2 linked regions of the Nothobranchius furzeri genome follow. The protein of the gene in region 1 binds, or shares a complex with, the protein of each later gene. Links are inferred from orthologs where the notes say so. Each region holds a gene or a part of one and is shown in the gene's direction. Other genes may lie near its edges.

Evidence for each region.
Region 2: cyfip2 (region 1) and brk1 share a complex: the UniProt entries of both Homo sapiens proteins name them as parts of the WAVE1 complex. The link is inferred for Nothobranchius furzeri from reciprocal best matches to the Homo sapiens genes CYFIP2 and BRK1.

Annotation. Positions count from the first base shown.
Region 1 is NC_091742.1:50,722,045-50,728,535, reverse strand, and holds part of cyfip2 (cytoplasmic FMR1-interacting protein 2), read left to right. Parts: intron 1-857; coding exon 858-986; intron 987-1,073; coding exon 1,074-1,178; intron 1,179-1,253; coding exon 1,254-1,342; intron 1,343-1,454; coding exon 1,455-1,692; intron 1,693-1,779; coding exon 1,780-1,932; intron 1,933-2,018; coding exon 2,019-2,158; intron 2,159-2,277; coding exon 2,278-2,425; intron 2,426-3,166; coding exon 3,167-3,320; intron 3,321-3,498; coding exon 3,499-3,655; intron 3,656-3,726; coding exon 3,727-3,823; intron 3,824-3,897; coding exon 3,898-3,974; intron 3,975-4,079; coding exon 4,080-4,188; intron 4,189-4,291; coding exon 4,292-4,411; intron 4,412-6,491. UniProt on the Homo sapiens protein: Involved in T-cell adhesion and p53/TP53-dependent induction of apoptosis. Does not bind RNA. As component of the WAVE1 complex, required for BDNF-NTRK2 endocytic trafficking and signaling from early endosomes.
Region 2 is NC_091743.1:65,722,587-65,728,428, reverse strand, and holds brk1 (probable protein BRICK1), read left to right. Parts: upstream 1-2,346; 5' UTR 2,347-2,403; coding exon 2,404-2,521; intron 2,522-2,893; coding exon 2,894-2,976; intron 2,977-3,046; coding exon 3,047-3,073; 3' UTR 3,074-3,512; downstream 3,513-5,842. Other genes in the region: rbm5 (RNA-binding protein 5), read left to right, coding at 5,235-5,266. UniProt on the Homo sapiens protein: Involved in regulation of actin and microtubule organization. Part of a WAVE complex that activates the Arp2/3 complex. As component of the WAVE1 complex, required for BDNF-NTRK2 endocytic trafficking and signaling from early endosomes.

The DNA of each region.
Region 1 (6,491 bases):
TATATTTTATATATATACATATAATATATATATAAATATATATAATATATATTGTATATATATAATATATATATATATTATATATATATATATATTTACATGCATACATACTTACACATATATATATATATACATATGCATTTATATGTATATGCATATATATATATATGTATGTATATATATATATATATATATATATATATATATATATATATATATATATACACGTGTATATATATATATATATACGTATATATGTACATATATACGTATATATATACGTGTATATATACGAATATATATATGTGTGTATGTGTGTGTATATATATATATATATATATATATATATATATATATATATATATATATATATATATATATAATATGTATTTTTTTCACATGCCAAATAACAGTAATGGCGTTGCGACAATGGAAAAAGTAATTAATTTGTTTAATCTGTTACCTAAAAAATAAAGCCTTTATACTAAACACCATAACTCCCAACACTATAAATATTTATGTGTGTCGGCAAATATCAGTTATCAACCATAAATGACTTATTTATATCGGATACCCATGCATCCGTACAGTAAAATTTTTTTTTTTTTTTTTTACTCTTCAAATTAAAAATATTCACATTTTTGAGTCCAGCAACAGATTTTAACTCAACATTAACACTTTACTTGAAAGGTTTGGGCCCCTCTGGTTCACAGGGACTGGTAGACACAAAACCATATCAGTGCGCGCACACACACACACCTGTTCTTAAAACAAAATGTTAGCTTAGTAAGCTAGAGACAGTGACCCTTAATATCTACCCTTAATTAGTGCAGCTTGTCCCGTCTCTCCTCCTGTAGTGCCTGCACCAACAGCTGGAGGTGATTCCGGGCTACGAGGAGCTTTTGGCAGACATCGTCAACATCTGTGTAGACTATTATGAGAACAAAATGTATCTGACGCCCAGTGAGAAACACATGCTGCTTAAGGTACAAATGCTCATATAAAATAATCAGATCTCAGGCTGATCCTTTGTTTTAATTCCCCTCTTGCCTGTTCCTCCAAATGTCTGACAGGTTATGGGCTTTGGATTGTACCTGATGGATGGGAATGTGAGTAATATCTACAAACTGGACGCCAAGAAGCGGATCAACCTGAGCAAGATTGACAAATTCTTTAAAGTAAACTTTTGTTTTGGACTCGTTTAATCCAACTAAAGAGTACAGCAGGTATCCAGATGTGTTTTTGTTCTTTAGCTGCAGGTTGTGCCTTTATTTGGAGACATGCAGATCGAGTTATCTCGCTATATTGAAACAAGTGCTCACTACGAAGAAAACAAGTCTAGGTAAAGCAATATGGTCCACTCTCGAATAAAACCCCTCAACAAGCGTAGAAAAACTAATAGAAAAGATTCCTCGCCGTGCTGTCTGCTCCATCTTTGTCTCGTCTTTGCACAGGTGGACGTGCACCCAGAGCAGCATCTCGCCACAGTACAACCTGTGTGAGCAGATGGTGCAGATCAGGGACGACCACATCCGCTTCATCTCGGAGCTGGCGCGCTACAGCAACAACGAGGTGGTGACAGGCTCGGGCCTGGACAGCCAGAAGTCCGACGATGAGTACCGGGAGCTGTTCGACCTGTCTCTGAGGGGTCTGCAGCTGCTGTCCAAGTGGAGCACACACGTCATGGAAGTTGTGAGTGAAAGAGGAACTCAGAGTGGAGGAGATTGTAATTGGTTTTGCCGCTGATGGCTCTTGTTATGATCTACTTTCAACTGTCAGTACTCTTGGAAGCTGGTTCATCCCACGGATAAATTCTGCAACAAAGACTGCCCAGGAACGGCGGAGGAGTATGAGCGCGCCACGCGCTACAACTACACCAGCGAGGAGAAGTTTGCTCTGGTGGAGGTCATCGCCATGATCAAAGGGCTGCAGGTCAAACGTGAAACTTGGCATGTAAAAGAAATTCTAATAAAAGCTCAAGCAAGGCATTTGTAAAGCTGCTCTTTCTGTGTGTTTAGGTCCTGATGGGTCGGATGGAGTCGGTGTTTAACCAGGCCATAAGGAACACAATCTATGCAGCTCTGCAGGACTTTGCCCAGGTGACCCTCAGAGAGCCTCTACGCCAGGCTGTACGCAAGAAGAAGAATGTCCTCATTAGGTACTCGTAGCATCAGAACGATTGCGTTTCCTTTCTGTAGCAGAATAACAGAAGCAGTTGTGTAATTACTTCATTTGTCATCTGAATTTCCTGGATTAAGTATTATCCTTTCTGAACAGTGTTCTTCAGGCCATTCGGAAGACTGTCTGTGATTGGGAAGGCGGAAGAGAGCCTCCAAATGACCCCTGCCTGAGGGGGGAGAAGGACCCGAAGGGCGGCTTTGACATTAAGGTGCCTCGACGAGCCGTGGGACCCTCCAGCACACAGGTAAGACCTAGGAGGAACGACAGGAAGTCTTTCTGGATGTTTCTGTCTTTTTGTGTTGGGAGACAAAAAACTGGACTTTTACGAGATTTAAATGGATGTTTTTCCCTTTGGGTAAATGGCCTGTATTTGACACAGCACCTTCTAGAGTCCTGGAACCCCCCAAGGCGCTTTACAACACAGTCATTCACCCATTCACACACACATTTGCACCCTGGTGGGGATGAGCTACACTGTAGCCACAGCTGCTCTGGGGCGCACTGACAGAGGCGAGTCTGCCGCACACAGGCCCCACTGGTCCCTCCGACCACCACCAGCAGCGAGGTGGCTTTAGTGTCTTGCCCAAGGACACAAAGACAGCGACAGGCTGTGCGGGGCTCGAACCTGTGTAACCTTCCGATTACAGGGTGAGCACTTAACTCCTGAGCCAACGTCGTCCCACCATCAGGAATTATTTAGTTGAAGTAGCGTAGATACTTACAGAGCTTTCTAGGATTGTTTTTCTGACTCTGTCCTGAGGGGGATTTAGGATTTTGGATAACGAAGGCATCTCAGAACAGCAATTACTAATTCCTGTTAAAAGTGGGAAAGTCTTGGAACCAAGCTTACGGTGTGCTAGTGGAAGAGGGGCAGTTGGACCAACAATCTTTATGGCGTCTCCAAAGGAAACTTGAAACTCTGAAGGTCTTTCTAGACAGAGATCTGGTCTTTTTGATGCATTTGTTGGTTTCCTGTCCCCTCTAGCTGTACATGGTACGCACCATGCTGGAGTCACTGATCGCAGATAAAAGTGGATCTAAGAAGACTCTCCGCAGCAGCCTTGATGGACCCATCGTGGTAGCCATAGAAGACTTCCATAAGCAATCCTTCTTCTTCACACACTTGCTCAACTTCAGTGGTGAGTTTTTATAACTTCAGTATAAGTTTTGTATAACTCATAACTCTAGGTTTAGTTTTGTACTCAACTTATTTAGCCAAGTTTCAGTCAGGAGCAATACATCACCGTGGCAGCAAACTTCTGCTCTAATGATCTGTTGACTTTTAAGTGGGTCACTTCCTGTCTGTTGTCTGATCAGAGGCCCTGCAGCAGTGCTGTGACCTGTCCCAGCTGTGGTTTAGAGAGTTCTTCCTGGAGCTAACCATGGGTCGCAGAATCCAGTTCCCCATTGAGATGTCCATGCCCTGGATCTTGACCGACCACATCCTGGAGACCAAAGAGCCTTCCATGATGGAGTAAGTTAAATCAGATAAGTATTTTTTTTTAAGCACCAGCAGGATCCTAATTTTTACTGTTGTTCTTGCAGATACGTCCTGTACCCTCTAGACTTGTATAACGACAGCGGCTATTACGCCCTCACCAAGTTCAAAAAACAGTTTCTGTATGATGAAATTGAAGCCGAGGTATGGCTGAATGCCTCTGTGATTCTCAAACTGGTTCAGAAGTCAAAAATTGATCCTGTTTTTCCTGTTTGTAGGTAAACCTCTGCTTTGATCAGTTTGTTTACAAGTTGGCAGATCAGATTTTTGCCTACTACAAAGCAATGGCTGGAAGGTAGAGGAATGCACTTGCTCCTTATATGTTTTGAAGTTACTGTCAGGAGTTGCAGCCATATTTATGAACATTTTCTCCTGAATCCAATTTTAATGTGCTTCACAGCGTCCTGCTAGACAAGCGCTTCAGAGCAGAGTGTAAAAACTACGGCGTCATCATCCCGTATCCTCCGTCGAACCGTTATGAGACGCTGCTCAAACAGAGACACGTACAGGTACATGACAACTCTCTGCTGCTCATCTGATGGGACATGATTTTAGGACATTTTAATTTCAGTGAATGTGTTTAGTTTCAGTTTGATCTTGGTGATTTTTCAGCTACTGGGTCGATCGATTGACCTGAACCGTCTGATCACTCAGAGGATCTCTGCAGCGATGTACAAGTCTCTGGACCACGCCATCAGTCGCTTTGAGAGTGAGGATCTCACCTCCATTGTGGTAAGAGGAGCAAGATGGCATTCACTTTTAGGACAACATATTAAGGCCCATAGACCCATTGCAGCATGACATCACATGCCCACACACCCGCCCCTGGCTGGAGGGCAAGATGCCTGCACGTCCCCGTTGACCGCAGTTGTTTATCTACTTGCTGTCAATAAACAGAGCTAAATCTATCGTCATGGCTAACAAACATAGAGCTCAGGGTATCCACTGGTCCTTAAAAAGTTTTAATTTTGCTTTTCCAAATTTAAGGCATTAAAAATCCTTAAAAATGACAAATAATCCTTAAATACAGTTTCCAAAGGTCTTAAATTACCAAAGACCCAATAAACAAGATTCTTTTATTTCTATAAAATTTTCGTGAATTTCTAGTTAGTGTTCAGCACTTTTGTGTATGATGTTGGCGTAAGCGGAACGTTACACGTTCGGCCAACCTTTACGCATGGTACGACTCACCCCTCTAAACTACGCAAAAAGCACGTGAGTTGAGTTCTGTGGCAAATATGCATGTGTGGTACTCATGTCTGAAAAACACGGCTCAGCGGCGCGGTGAAGAAGTTTAAACCAATCATCGTAGAAAAGCAGAGAAAAACTGTCCTGCCTAACCTAGCGTAACACCCCCGCACCCTCCTCTCTGCTTCGTCCTGCTCCTCTCTCCCTCCGGTTCGCCACTCGCTGCTGTTCTCGTAAGGTAAAGTGTGAGTGTGTGTGTGTGTGTGAAAAATTTTCCATCCGGTGAATGGGGAGATTACAGCGTGAAAAGCAATGGAGTTGCAAAAGTGCGCGAAAAAAATGCCGCACAGGTGGTACTCAAAAAATTTTGACAAGGTTGGCAGTTCTGCATTCAGTTGGTTGTGAAAGGGGCTATTTTTAGATGATAAAATTCTTTTGATCTTTTATATTGGAAATGTCTGAAATCTCCCACTTTTTGGGATTAAATTTGAAGATTTGATTAATTTCTATATATACAGGTCTTTCACAAAAAATTAGCATATTGTGATAAAGTTCATTATTGTCTGTAATGTACTGATAAACATTAGACTTACATATATATTAGATTCATTACACACAGCTGAAGTAGTTCAAGCCTTTTATTGTTTCTAATATTGATTATTTTGGCATACAGCTCATGAAAACCTAAAATTCCTATCTCAAAAAATTAGCATATCATGAAAATGTTCTCTAAACAAGCTATTAACCTAATCATCTGAATCAACTAATTAACTCTAAACACCTGCAAAAGATTCCTGAGGCTTTTAAAAACACCCAGCCCGCAATCATGAGTAAGACTGCCGACCTGACTGCTGTCCAGAAGGCCATCATTGACACCCTCAAGCAAGAGGGTAAGACACAGAAAGACATTTCTGAACGAATAGGCTGTTCCCAGAGTGCTGTATCAAGGCACCTCAGTGGGAAGTCTGTGGGAAGGAAAAAGTGTGGCAGAAAACGAAAAGAGGTGACCGGACCCTGAGGGAGATTGTGGAGAAGGGCCGATTCCAGACCTTGGGGGACCTGCGGAAGCAGTGGACTGAGTCTGGAGTAGAACCATCCAGAGCCTCCGTGTACAGGCGTGTGCAGGAAATGGGCTACAGGTGCCGCATTCCCCAGGTCAAGCCGCTTTTGAACCAGAAACAGCGGCAGAAGCACCTGACCTTGGCTACAGAGAAGCAGCACTGGACTGTTGCTCAGTGGTCCAAAGTACTTTTTTCGGATGAAAGCAAATTTTGCATGTCATTCAGAAATCAAGGTGCCAGAGTCTGGAGGAAGACTGGGCAGAGGGAAATGCCAACATGCCTGAAGTCCAGTGTCAAGTACCCACAGTCAGTGATGGTCTGGGGTGTCATGTCAGCTGCTGGTGTTGGTCCACTGTGTTTTACTAAGGGCAGTGTCAATGCAGCTAGCTATCAGGAGATTTTGGAGCACTTCATGCTTCCATCTGCTGAAAAGTTTTATGGAGATGAAGATTTCATTTTTCAGCACGACCTGGCTCACAGTGCCAAAACCACTGCTAAATGGTTTACTGACCATAGTATTACTGTGCTCAATTGGCCTGCCAACTCTCCTGTCCTGAACCCCA
Region 2 (5,842 bases), on another chromosome or scaffold:
TCAGAATGGCAATAGTGAAATAAATATATACTAAATGGTAAATTGGTTATTTGTATGAATACATTTATCAATATATACGTTTATTAATGTATTGTGTTAGGTAGTGTTTAAACCAATAATTATTTAAAATGTTTAAGGTTTTGTCTGTGTGTGTGTGTGGCTGTTGGTTGATGGAGGCATGCCAAATTAAGAATAACCCAAAATGGCGGTAAAGTTAGGGAAAAATTAATTACAATTTACTGCTTGTGTATTTCTCGCTATCAGAAGAACAGTGATTTTGGAATTCTAGGATCACATTGATTATTCTTTTAGTCTTGATGTTTTGGACGAAATGACATAAAACGATGACTTTTTTATGTTTCGTTCCTTGTAGCTTTACCGGTGCGTCGTCCGGTTAAACTCCAATCCAAGGCCAATCAGCTGTGCCCCCGCTGTGTGTGCCGGTGTATAAACAGAGCAGACCCAGTAGCGTAGTCTTGAGTGGGTGGGAGCACTTCTAGGCGAAGGTTGGACTTTAAGCCAACTTGTTAACAGGAAGAGCGCGCGTACACACCTTCGTGCGATTTACAAGATATCGCAAACATGGCCCAAAACTTGAAAAAGTTTTACAACCTTACAGCTAATCTGCTGACTGGTGAAGCTTTTAATTTCTCCACACTTAAAGGGAAAGTCGTTCTCATTGAGAACGTGGCATCTCTCTGAGGAACAACAATCAGGGATTACACTCAGATGAACGAGCTTCATTCTCGCTATTCCGCAGAGGGACTCGTTATCCTGGGTGTGCCCTGCAATCAGTTTGGGCACCAGGTAAGTTCCAGTAGATATACGGAGAAACAAATAATGCACAGTACTTGTTTTTGTTACTTGTAGAAGGGTTAAGGAAAGTGAATTAGTAGAGTGGTTTAGAATCAAAGGTGCTTCCACATTTAAATTCATGCTACTTTAATGTATTTAAATATTTCGATTTGCACAATAGGAGAATGCCAAAAATGATGAGATCCTGAGATCCCTAAAGTATGTCCGCCCAGGGAATGGCTTTGAACCCAAGTTCCAGCTCCTGGAGAAGGTAGACGTCAATGGAAAAGCTGCTCATCCCTTGTTTGTGTACCTTAAGGAGACGCTCCCAACCCCCAGCGACAATGCCACGGCCCTCATGACCGATCCAAAGTTCATCATCTGGAGTCCTGTGTGCAGGACCGACATATCCTGGAATTTTGAGAAATTCCTGATCGGAGCTGATGGGGAGCCTTTCAAGCGCTACAGCAGAAACTTCCTCACCATAGATATTGAGGAAGATATTAAGGAGCTACTGAAAAGGAGGATCAAGTAAAATGTGCTACAACATTACTATTGCTGGCAGTGAAAGATATCTGTCGTGACCACACTGGCTTTGTAATGCTTATCTGTAGACCCAGGCGTTTCGGGTATTTCTTCTTGCTTTCCTGCTCACAGTTGAATTAATTGCCACAGTCCAAATATTGTGAAATTTTCAGTGGTATATACTTGGTTTTTCAACCCATTTACTTAATGATGAGGCTCCTGCAAACCTTTTTGTGTAGGGAGACTCTGATAAAGATGTAAATGTCTGTATTTACCCCTGACTGTACTGCAATTGGAATATTAGTTGAAAAAATGAAATAAACATCTTTTATCAAACACTTTTTAAAATTACATTTATAAAACGCACATATAAATCCTAGATTTTCTTTGGTGTCCGACAAATGTAGGCAACTATATCTTTATCTCATTTCAATTTTACTTTTTGGCATTTAAATAGAAGCATTTGCATTGAGGGTTTTTCTTTACATGATGCATCAAACCATAAAAACTACAGATTATTGAAAATTACTTCTGGAGAATAAAACATCTCCTATGATTGTTAGATTCAGAAGGTATTTTTAATGTTTCTTATTCTCACATTTATACAACGCTGCCACAAGGTGCTACCTTTAGGAGCCAATTGAGGTTCACTGGTCCCAAAACAAACCTGGGCTTATCACATGAGACACCTCAGCCACACGTTCGTAAAACCTTATGTGTGTTTGCATCATAGACAACAATGTGTAGTCTGTGGCGTATGCACATGTGCATAAAATAGTTAAATAACTTTAATAGATTAACTTTCTCAACTAGATTTTTTGTCTTTGTTTTTAGATGTTTTTTAAATATTTTTTCTGTCAAAACTATATATATATATGTATAAATTTCATTTTCTGGGTTTTTCTTTATATTCTAAATTTGAAAATTGACAAAATAATCTTCACTTTTACATACAGTGTTTGAACCGAGCGAAATAAAAAGCAATATTTTATTGATAATTATGAATCTCGCTAAATCTCGTGCCCAGTTTACGCCCGATGGCGCTTCCTGGATGAAAGCTTCTGCAACGACAAAACTGCTAACATGGCTGGCCAGGAAGACCCCGTTCAGAGGGAGATCCACCAAGACTGGGCGAATCGAGAGTACATAGAGGTCATAACAAGCAGCATCAAGAAAATCGCAGACTTTCTCAACTCGTTCGGTGAGCTTTTAGGAAAAGCTACAAAGGATTCGACCGCTGTGTTGTAGAAATATTTGAGCTGGAAGGTCGCGCTAGCTAGAGAAGCTAGCTGTCGGGCTGCTGCTAACACTGATGTTGATGTTTTTAAATGGCCACTCCCAGCTAGCTCGGACATTAGCACCGAGCTAATCGCTTTGTTTTAAAGGGTAATGATATTTCAAAGGAGAATTGCGTTTGCTTAGTTTATTATATTTATTAATTCAAGTGTCGAAGCTCTGCCACATCTTTAGGAACACAATAGCTACCAGTGAAGTTCATCTTCAATCAGTGCTCCCTACAGTTGTATCGTTGATATACCAAACTAACATTCAAAATAAATTTTAACCCAAACAGATATGTCTTGTCGGTCCCGCCTGGCCACTCTAAACGAGAAGTTGACAGCACTGGAAAGAAGGATCGAATATATAGAAGCAAGAGTAAGTAGAAGAATCACAGTTAGATGCATTGTTTTGAGTGATTTAATCAAGCAATTATATCTCTTTTCAGGTGACGAAAGGAGAAACCTTGACCTAGACTTCCATCATGAGGATCCTTAATATCTAACTACTTCCCCACCCTTTACCCTGAATTATTTTGGACTAAATGTGCTGGACTCCACTGTCCTGTTTTGGGGATTATGTGGACCATTTTTATATTATGTGACTGAGTTTTGTGTTTTTATCTCATGGCACATTTGTAAAATATATATAAAAACATGAAACAGATTCTGTATTAGTGGCACAAACACCATCATTAGATTTAAAATTGATCTCCATAAGTATTCAAAAGATATTCTGGGACTAAGTTGTGAATCTATTGTCAGCAGTATATATACAGTATGCCATTACTAAATCAGAGACATAAAGAGGGAACATTCATGTGTGCCAAGTTTAACATTGTCTAGTCTCCTTTATTTGCCTGTTTGGTAAGGTTTCAGACTTTAAATACTGAAATAAAAGCTATACGATGATAATACTTGATTTTCATCTTATTTTAAGTACTCCATTTGGTGTTTAAATTTAATTCAATGGCTAAGTGTGAACAAAAGCTACTAAAACATCTGTCAAGTAAACAAACATCAAAGATAGTTTGTTGCATAGATAAGTTAGATGCATTGGTTATGTGTATCGAAAAAGTCCACTTACATTAATGTGAACCAATATTAAGAAAAATAATTGAATATATCTATCCATTTTCATCCGGAGTCGGGTCGCGGGGGCAGTAGCCTAAGGCGAGAGGCCCAGACTTCCCTCTCCCCCAGCCAATTCGGCCAGCTCCTCCGGGGGAATTCCCAAGGCGTTTCCTGGCCAGGTGAGACATAGTCCCTCCAACGTGTTCTAGGTCTACCTTTAGGTCTCCTCCCGGTTGGACGTGCCCGGAAAACCTCAGCAGGGAGGCATCTTGACCAGATGCCCGAGCCACCTCAACTGGCTCCTCTCGATGTGGAGGAGCAGCGGGTATACTCAGAGCCCCTCCCGGATGACCAAGCTTCTCACCCTATCTCTAAGGGAGAGCCCAGCCACTTTGCGGAGAAAACTCATTTCAACCGCTTGTATCCGCGATCTTGTTCTTTCCGTCACTACCCAAAACTCATGACCATAGGTGAGGGTAGGAACGTAGATCATCTGGTAAATTGAGAGCTTTGCCTTCTGACAGCTCTCTCTTCACCACGACAGACCGGTACAACACTCGCATCACTGCAGATGCAGCACCAATCTGCCTATCTATCTCACACTCCAGTTTTCCCTCACTCGTGAACAAGACCATACACTTAAACTCCTCCATTTGGGGCAGGTCTCTCTCTCTCTCTCTCTCTCTCTCTCTCTCTCTCTCTCTCTCTCTCTCTCTCTCTCGACAGCTGTACATTTATGTGCGTTTAAGAGTAAATAAAGTAGTATTTATAGTATCTCATCGAAGTATGCTGTCTACCCTGTGTAAACTGACTGGGAACTATTTATTTGGTTAACCATAAACTATCGTGAAAACGTCGAGAAGTTAAAGACAAGTATCACCCAAAATTGCAAAATGGCGGATTTTGATAACTGGGTAAATTTTGCCCTGAAACTTACCGTTCAGGCATACTTCTGAAATTTCTTATCCAAGTTTAGATTAACATAAGGATAATTAATTAATGATATGCATAAAAACGTACTAAAATATTAATTTTACTCATGGCATAAATCATATCGAAGTCAACATCGAATTTGTTATTGTTGGAAACAAACCGACTGGAATTCAGGACTGCCTGTAAGGCAAACTCAGGGAATATTTTAACCCAATGAATGCCCACCCTGTTCTGCCCCCGATGCATTGTGGGATAAAGAAGGTTCTGGCGTCGAGCTGAGAACGTTTCTCCAAAGTCAGATGTAATTTCATCCCACAATTTACTGAATGGTTCAATAAAGAAACTTTTTTTTGCATTTTCCGGCGACAGAAGAACATAATTTGGTAAGTTTTTGTTTAATTACACTTGAAGCGAACTGCAGGTTGTCCATGGACTCATCGGCGTTATTTGCGTAACGCAGAAGCGGTGTCCATTTTACGTTTAACAGTCATTATTGTGTGTGTTTTTTAACCACGTCTGGCTTTAAGATGTGACGTTGATCTTGAGCAGTGAACGAAATGGCCGAAAGTTGAAATAAAAATGTTGTTTTCTTGTCTTTGTGTTTCAGGCAGCTGTTGCGGGAGTATACTCATGTCTTCGGAGAAAATGGGAGCTGATAAAAGGTACGTTCATCTGTGACGGAAGTCGGAGCAGATGCGTGGTATCCCGGCCGTCTCTTCCTTAACCATTGTATGTACCGATTGCGATAAAGACCCAACGATTACACCACATCATCAGAAATCCCAATCCATGTCTCCTGATAGTGGGTTGGTCGCATCTGAGAAGCACAAACAATTAAAACTATTCAAACTAATAAAATGTGTTTTCTTTATCTGAACCCGACGATCACACCTTAGTTTCGTTACACTCGTTCAACATGTTTCATTTTGTATAATTACGCAGCATACATTAGGGATGTGGAAAAGTATCTATGCACTCAAATATCGCGATGTTTCGTGTTTTGAAACTGAGTCAAGTAGTATCGGTTTTGTAAATCTGGATTTTCTCGGAAACATTTACTTTATTTAATTTATTTTTTGTGGTGCAGTTCTATTTCCGACCACTAGTTGGCAGCAATTTTTATCTCCTTCAGTCTGACGGCTAGCCATCTTATATAAATGAATATATAGGCCCAAACACAATACTCCACTTCCACCCTTGCACCCTTCAATTGCGTGATCCCGATATGGGTCTCCATA